Linked DNA regions of Coturnix japonica. The protein of the gene in region 1 purifies or fractionates together with the protein of each later gene. This does not show direct contact. Links are inferred from orthologs where the notes say so. Each region holds a gene or a part of one and is shown on either strand. Other genes may lie near its edges.

The links.
Region 2: the proteins of signaling lymphocytic activation molecule-like (region 1) and PTPN11 purify together in Homo sapiens (affinity purification with western blotting; 3 studies listed by BioGRID and IntAct, with this or other methods). This does not show direct contact. The link is inferred for Coturnix japonica from reciprocal best matches to the Homo sapiens genes SLAMF1 and PTPN11.

The regions. Positions count from the first base shown.
Region 1 is NC_029540.1:806,644-810,236, reverse strand, and holds the end of signaling lymphocytic activation molecule-like, read right to left. Parts: coding exon 3,334-3,593; intron 2,495-3,333; coding exon 2,390-2,494; intron 1,906-2,389; coding exon 1,829-1,905; intron 1,536-1,828; coding exon 1,434-1,535; intron 1,357-1,433; coding exon 1,300-1,356; 3' UTR 691-1,299; downstream 1-690.
Region 2 is NC_029530.1:5,551,312-5,555,129, reverse strand, and holds part of PTPN11 (tyrosine-protein phosphatase non-receptor type 11), read right to left. Parts: intron 2,162-3,818; coding exon 2,065-2,161; intron 1,499-2,064; coding exon 1,419-1,498; intron 1,295-1,418; coding exon 1,136-1,294; intron 1-1,135. UniProt on the Homo sapiens protein: Acts downstream of various receptor and cytoplasmic protein tyrosine kinases to participate in the signal transduction from the cell surface to the nucleus. Positively regulates MAPK signal transduction pathway. Dephosphorylates GAB1, ARHGAP35 and EGFR.

The DNA.
Region 1 (3,593 bases):
TTCTTACAGCAGCATGGCTCTCTGCAGGCTTCAAAAGGGTAAGAGGATGGAGAGAGAGGACCCATGCAGTGCTTTGACCCATGGAGGGCTTTGCCAGGCTGGTCAGCAGAGGGTCAGCTGAGACAGAACAGCTACTTCCCCAATGGGGCTTATTTTGGGAAGCAGTCTCATCCTGACACCATATCAACATTGGAGTGGGGAAGTGTGTAAGGCCAGATGGGGATGTCTAGCATTGAACTTGTGATGATTTCTCTTGCTGGGGTGAAGGAACGGGTTCATCTGTTGCTCTTCACCCCAGTGCTGGGCTATGGGAGGGTGAGGGGAAGTAGTGTGTGTGTTCAGCTTACCCTGTGGGGTAATGCAACTGCTTCTTCAGCACTGGGTGCATGCAAGTTATGGTTGCTCAATACAGAAGTAGTAATCGTGTTACCAAACCCTTAATGGAAGCACCTCCTTTGCCCCCATGCTGGTAGGGGACAAGGAGAGGAGGAGGAGGTGGTGTTATGGGGATGTGCCCCTGGGGAAGTAGCAGCTTTGCAAAAGGACTTCCCAAGAAAGCAGCTCAGCTGATTTTTGCTGAAGTAACAAGAAGAGGAAGCTTGAGATGTGTAGAAATGCACTTCTCTCCCCCCCCCCCCCCCCGCCCAGAGCCTGACCCAGCTGCAGCCCTCGTGTTTTCTTTCACAAACCTTCCTGAAACATTTTCCTATATGTTTATTTTCCATAGCAGGTGAGGTCGGCCCTGCTGCCTGAGCCCAGATGAAAGTGGGTTTATGGCACAGCTGGAAAGAGCTGACAACCCTGAGCCTCCCATTGTCCTGATGCTGTGCAAGGTGGGGACACAGAGCTGCTCACACCCCCAAGCTCGGCTGGACACCCAGCCCAGGGGATGGAGAAGCGATGTGATGCTTCCCACGTCCACGGGAGAGCTGGGAGAACCGCAGGGACTCCTCGTTGTGACACGGTTTCTTCTGTGCACACCTCGGAACCGCCTACGGGGCACCTTCTGATTCGTTGCTTTTCCTTTTCTGCTGTGGTTAGGCAGCCCTCATTGTCCTCTATGGGCTCCCCCTGGCGAGTCCATCACTCCGAGCGCTGCTGCTATCGGGTCCCTTCATTACGCAGCTCCCTTTGCTTTCTCGCCTTGCTTCTGTGGCTCTCTTTGCTCCTTCAGCGCGATGCTTTGGGGTCGGGAGCTGCGTGCTTCTTATGCGCAGGGATGTGCGAGGTCCCCCGCAGGGATGCGGGGTTTGGATGTAGGGTGCGGGAGCGGAGCCGGGTCCTGCCCTGCAGGGAGGCTCAGCTGATGGGCAGCATCACGCTGGCATAAACTGTCTTGGGCTCCGTGTTGGGGCTCTGCGAGGCAAAGTGGGGTGAGAGAGGTGCCTGGATTGGGGTGCTAAGTGTGGGACCCATCAAATCCATCCACTTACCTGAGGGCTGTATGGGGGTAAGGATGCGTTGGTGGCTGCAGCGTAAATGGTGGTGCAGGTGGGGTGATCAGTGCCCACGGGGCTGCAGGGGGGCTTTGGCTTCTGTACAGGGAGCAAAAAGTGAGTAATGACAGTCAGCTCTCCCCTTTCTCCAGCACTACAAGGCCTCCTGATACAGTTTATCCCCTTGGGATGCTGAGAGCAACAGTCCCAAAGTAAAGTGGCCCTAATGGAGGTGACACTTGGAGAGGCCCACAACCTCCCCACTCCTGGATGGTAATGACCCGACTTTCCCTGGCTATAGGGCTTCATTGGCACCCTGTGCTCCAAGCTCATCACCCATACAGCTGCAAGGACACAGCTTTAGGACGCTGCACCCTGCAGGGCTCACTCACCTCTACCCGCTGCACCTGAGAGTAGATGGTGTGCACTGTGCTGTCCTCAGTGTGCGGCGACTGCTCCCTTGGTTGTCCTGCATCGGGGACAGAGCAAAGTCACCATGGGGATGGAGTGGCAGCAGGACCCCCACTGGCCCCATATTCCTCCCCCCGAGGGGTTCACAGTGTTTCCTATGTTGGATCCAACCCTGATGCAGCTGTTTGTCTCTGGGCTCGTTGGCTTGGTGAATTTATCATTGCTCAGAGGCACGGGGCACCCTCACCAGGGTATTCTGCAGGGGTGTTGCTCTCTTGAGATCACATTTTCCCCTTGAAGCCATGTGATATAGAGATGTGCAGCATCCGCAGAAAGCCCTTGAGGTCACACAGTAGGCAAAGCAGGTATCTATGTCCTTTTTTCTTTTTTAAGCTGCTTTCCTTCCTGTCTGTTACCCCGGGCTTCAAACAAAGCAGGTCCCCACTCAACCCTCCCCTCACAGGAGCGGGGCACCCCAACATGAGGTTGGGGGGGCCACGAGCTTCTCCTTTCACCTCCAAACCCCCATACCCTGCACTCACTCATGTTTGCAATCACATAGACCAGAGTGAAGGCCCCGGCGATCACGATCAGGATCAATATGGGCAGCACCACTCCCAACAGCAGCATCCCTGTCCTCCAGCTGCCTGTGGCTCAGAGAGAGTGAGGGTCAGTATCCAACAGAGAGCTCATTGTTAACCCCACCCCTCCCAGTATCTTCTTGTCTGTTTGTGGAGCTGAAGATTTCAGTAGAATGATAGCAAAGAGCAGGAAATGTGGTTGGTTTTTTTTGCGAGCTGAACTCTCTATAACCATCTACAAAGTGCAACTGCCAGCAAAAATACCTTGCTGAGGGCCGGATGAGGCTGTGACACGTCTCTGGAGGCTTTGTGGGGAGCCTGGGGGCAGAGCTTTGTACCTCCAGCCCTGGTGATGGGGACAGGGGCTGCCACTAATATGGGTGTTATAGTGTGTGTGTAAGGTCTGGGGGGGACCCAGTGCTGGGAAATATGCCCTGTAGCATCTCATGTCAGCACCTTCCCCTCTCTATTGAGATCTAAAGATGCTGTGGGGATGTTTGCCAGGCATAGGGCATGGTGAGAGCCCCATGTGGGTGGGGGACAGAGAGGTGGTGTCACTGCTGTGTCCCCAGGGTGAGGGACAGTCACTGTGTTACATGGCCACAGCAAAAGTCCCCACGTCACAGGGGAGGGCAAGAAAAACCCAATGACAGAGAGCATAATTTTGGCCTCAAGAGCCTCCTGGGGGAAGCTGAGGTTCTTATCATCCCCAGCCAAGCGAGCCTGGGGCAGTGGGGTGCAGCGAGCACAGCTCAGTGCTTACGGGAATGGCCATGCAACCCACAGAGGTGCTGTGGCTGCTTTTCCTGCCAAAGGTTCCTCTGGGGCACCGAAAGCAATGTGAGAAAATTCCCCCATGGGGCTGGAGGTGGGGGAGATAGTGGGGTCAGGTGCTGAGGGCTCACCTTGCTGCTCAATGCTGCAGATGGAGGAGTGGAAGGCAGTGGTGCGGCGGCTGACGGGGTTGCTGGCGGTGCAGGCACAAGCCAGGCTGCTGTTGGTGGGGTCGTAGGAGAGCAATAGGAGGCTGCCATTGTGGGTGCAGGGTGATGAGGTGCTGGCCTCAGAGCTGGCCCAGCTGTAGGATATGTTGTCCCCTCGTGCCGCCGTGCAATTAAGGGTGACTGTGCAGCTGTCATTGGCCAGCATCCAGTCGAGGATGTGG
Region 2 (3,818 bases), on another chromosome or scaffold:
ATTTTAGTACCAGTTTTGCCTCATAGTTGCAAAGCCCTGGGATTGAAATGCAGTTACCTATACCTCCACCCAACTATTTGTTTCAAAATACGAAGAATTTTCAGGGGAATGCTGCAGCTCCATATGCTGCTCTAAAATCAATACCTAACAGGCTGCAAAACAAACGCAAGTCAAAGATATAAATCATTTTTAACAGGAATGCAGCTTGGACATTCGCTTTTTCATTGCTTAGAATCAGGGAAAAAACGGGCTAACATAGCTCTAATTCAATCACCAAAGCAACACAGAACTGCTCCCTTTGACAGACGGCCTGATGCATCTGTAGGCTTCGACATTTAGAGCTTTCAGCATGCTGCTTCTCTCTCAAGGTTATCTTTGGCCAGGGATGTATTCTACACACTGAAGGGTGGCTTAACCTATTACTTCTTTAATTTGGTTCCTGCAACAACAGCTCCTGTTAGCCTCGTGAAGGCTAACACAAAATTAGATGAGAAATATAGTGGGGAAGACAGATGCAGCTTCCAGCAACAGCAAACAGACCAAGCACCAAATACCATAGAAAAATATTTCTTATTAACAGCACCTAGTGCAGATTTACAAGAATATATGGGAACAAGGGAAGCTTCTTCTGCCAATAAAAGATACAGCATAAGATGCTTTGCTGTTGTTACTTTTGCCATTCTTTCCCTATCGCTGATTAAGTAACCAGACATAAAAGCATTGTACACAGCCAGAGCACACAGCAAAAAAAAAAAAAAAAAAAAGTATTCAACTTTTATGAACAGGGAATTTATCCCTTTTCAAATAGGCAGAATATTTGACTGCAGCACCCAGCTTTCCAGTGTCTCATTCCCTGAGTATTCTCACAATGCAATGATTCACATTCAGTAGCTAGAATTTAATCAGACAACCCTTACAAAAGGGAGGTCTTGTGATGCAATAGGAGTGCATCCTCAATTCCCACAGGCATCAATTAAGAACATTCAATACCTTACAGAATTAAGCTGCAAGTATCCAAAGACCATGATGGCACACTGCATTTCAGCATGTGAGTCAATATAACCAAGTCAGTTTAGATCCCACTTGCACACAAATGTTATGACTGCTCCAGAGACCAGTATAATATTGTTTTTACCTTTCCTCTTTCAACTTCTTTTGTTGTCATAACAATAACTCGAGAATTCTCCTGAAACACCATCCTCCAAAAATCATTCACTGTATTCTGCAGGCAACCTTGAGTAGCAATGTAGCTTTTTTTTGGCTTTGTGTTGTTGCACTTGGTTTCAAACTCAGGCTAGAGACAAAAACAATTTAAGAAATGGAGACAAATGCTCATTTTTAGAAGACCAACTTGGATTTAAAAGAGTAAGTAGGCATAGGTTGTGCCTGCAAGACTCATTTAGGTGGGGCATACTTACCATAATAATATTAGCATTGATATAGTCTGAAACAGGTTCATTTGGATCACCATCATGCAGAACAACTCTGGTATGATCAACTGGAAGAATATATTTATACATTAAGCAGTTGCATCCTACAATTGTGAGCATACAGCTATTTTTAAACATTCAACCAACAGGTACAATTCTTCCTGTTATCAGAAAGTGCTACATTGTGAAACTCTGCAAATCACTGCTAGAACACCCATCCCTTTTTCTGTTACTTAAAACAAGTTTCCAATCCATAACAACATAGATCACAAAACAAGTGTTTATCTGAATCAACGCAAATGGTCTCAAACACTGCTGGATTTGCACTACTCAGTTCTGTACCACAAATTAATCCTCTTAACTGTAAGCATTTCAGTTTGCCAAATGAAAGCATCATATCCCTAAACTGTTAAGTGAACGCTGCAGATAAACATTACAGAATCAAAATATCTGCAACTATAATGAGTAAATGTTTGAACACAGACTGGAAGCTATATGGACTAATACTGACAACATAAAAGAAGGACTTACCACTAAAGAGAAGAAAAAGCACAATGTTAAATTAACCCAGTCTTTTCCAGCTAAAATAATAAAGCACAAAAGTAATAGGCTTACACAAGAAATCAGTACTTACAGGGTAAAATGTTTTTGTATCTATTTTTGTTTTTGTTTTCTTGTCGCTGACCTTCTTTACGGCTATAGAGGAGTTTGCATTCTTGCTGCTGTAAAGTCTGCACAAAAACAGCACGAATAACTGGTGTCAGTAAAAGCACAAAAAAGACAAAGACCTGTTATAATGTTTCATCACTATAGAGATCCGTCCCTCATTCAAATGAGGACACTTGATTATAATAACAATCAACAGTCAGAGAATCGCTGGTTTACTCCATTCAGGCTACATACAGTATTGCTTTCAAAGTATGAAAAGGCACTGACACAAACAGAACACAGGTGTCAAGATTCTCTACCTGAGCTGTACTGGATTCCTCTAGGCCTTACTAGCTTTATTCCCCTCCTTCAGCTATTGCCAATCCAAAGCAGTGCCGCTGGAAAGCCCCTAAACCACATCCCTGAGATCCTTGCAGGCTGCAGCCAGATAATCTCCAGGCAGCCAAAGGGGAAGAAGGAGCTTACAGAAAACCCACCAAAGCACACCAACATAAGCAGCTGTCTCAGCTTCAAGGAAAGTGAGAAGACCTTCAGCTGTTAGAAGCATAATATTAAGATATTCTTTCCTATTCCCTTCAAACCACAATAGGATAAGAATATTCAAAACGCACATATGGCATTCGAAAGCCAGAAAGCAAATTAGCACTGAGTGCAACAACAGTACTTTGTAATTTGTGCCTTACTTTTCATAGAAAAGGTAATTAACCCTCTGAGTGAATCCTTTTCACAGACACAGCTGCTACAAAACTGGCTGACAAATAGGAATGGGTCAATACACCCAGGAGCAAAACGTGACTCCCTTTCTCCCATTGACACAAGAACATCTCACTAAGCCTGTACAGCCAAACATATTTTTCTCAGATTCCTCACATTACCATGCTGGTGGATTGGGGAGGTGTTAGGTAACTACCTACATGGTTATCCATAAATCATCCTAGTGCAGAAGCAATAAATCTGCATGGGGATTTTTCCCGTTGGCAAGGCCCTAATTTCTCAGTGTCTGGTTCCCAATTAATAATGACAGGGACAACAGTAATTCCATACCTCATAGCAGCACTGCTTAGTAGTAAATCCACGTACTTGCAATGAAGCAAAGGGGACAACGACCTCAGTGATTTTGCTCCAAGTTTTAATCTCAAAAGCAGTTTTGGTCTGACTAAAAGAAACACTCTGCCTTTGAAAGCTGCTCTCTTCACTAAGATCACCTTAATATTCCTCCACAGATTACTTTTACTTCAAAGTTCAGGCATGTCAGGCACATTTGCTCACTTCTATTTCAGTCTGTGTTATCATTCCCACCTCACTTAGTGACCTTGGACAGTTAAGCTCATCCTAAAGACAGGGAATCCAAAGAACAAAAGCAAAACAGAGCTGTGAGGTTTCACATACATAAAGCACAGAATGTGTATACCCATAAAGCATGTCTTGTCTGCATTAAGCCCAACTCTTGCCATAATGCAAAAATCTTTTAACTGCCATTATTACAGAGTGCCTTTATATAATATTAACACTTTTGAGTCTCTGCAAAGTGAAACGCCAAGCAAAGAACCAAAAGCTGAACTTTGCTAGCAGGTTAAAACATGGAAATAATTGTGTTGAAACAAGCTTCAAACACCTTTACTTCACACATTTAATGGTTACTGCTTTGAGCATCCCTGAGGAAAGATCCACGAGCAGCAAAGACTTCTAGCAAGCTGGCTACAAGAGGTACACAATGCA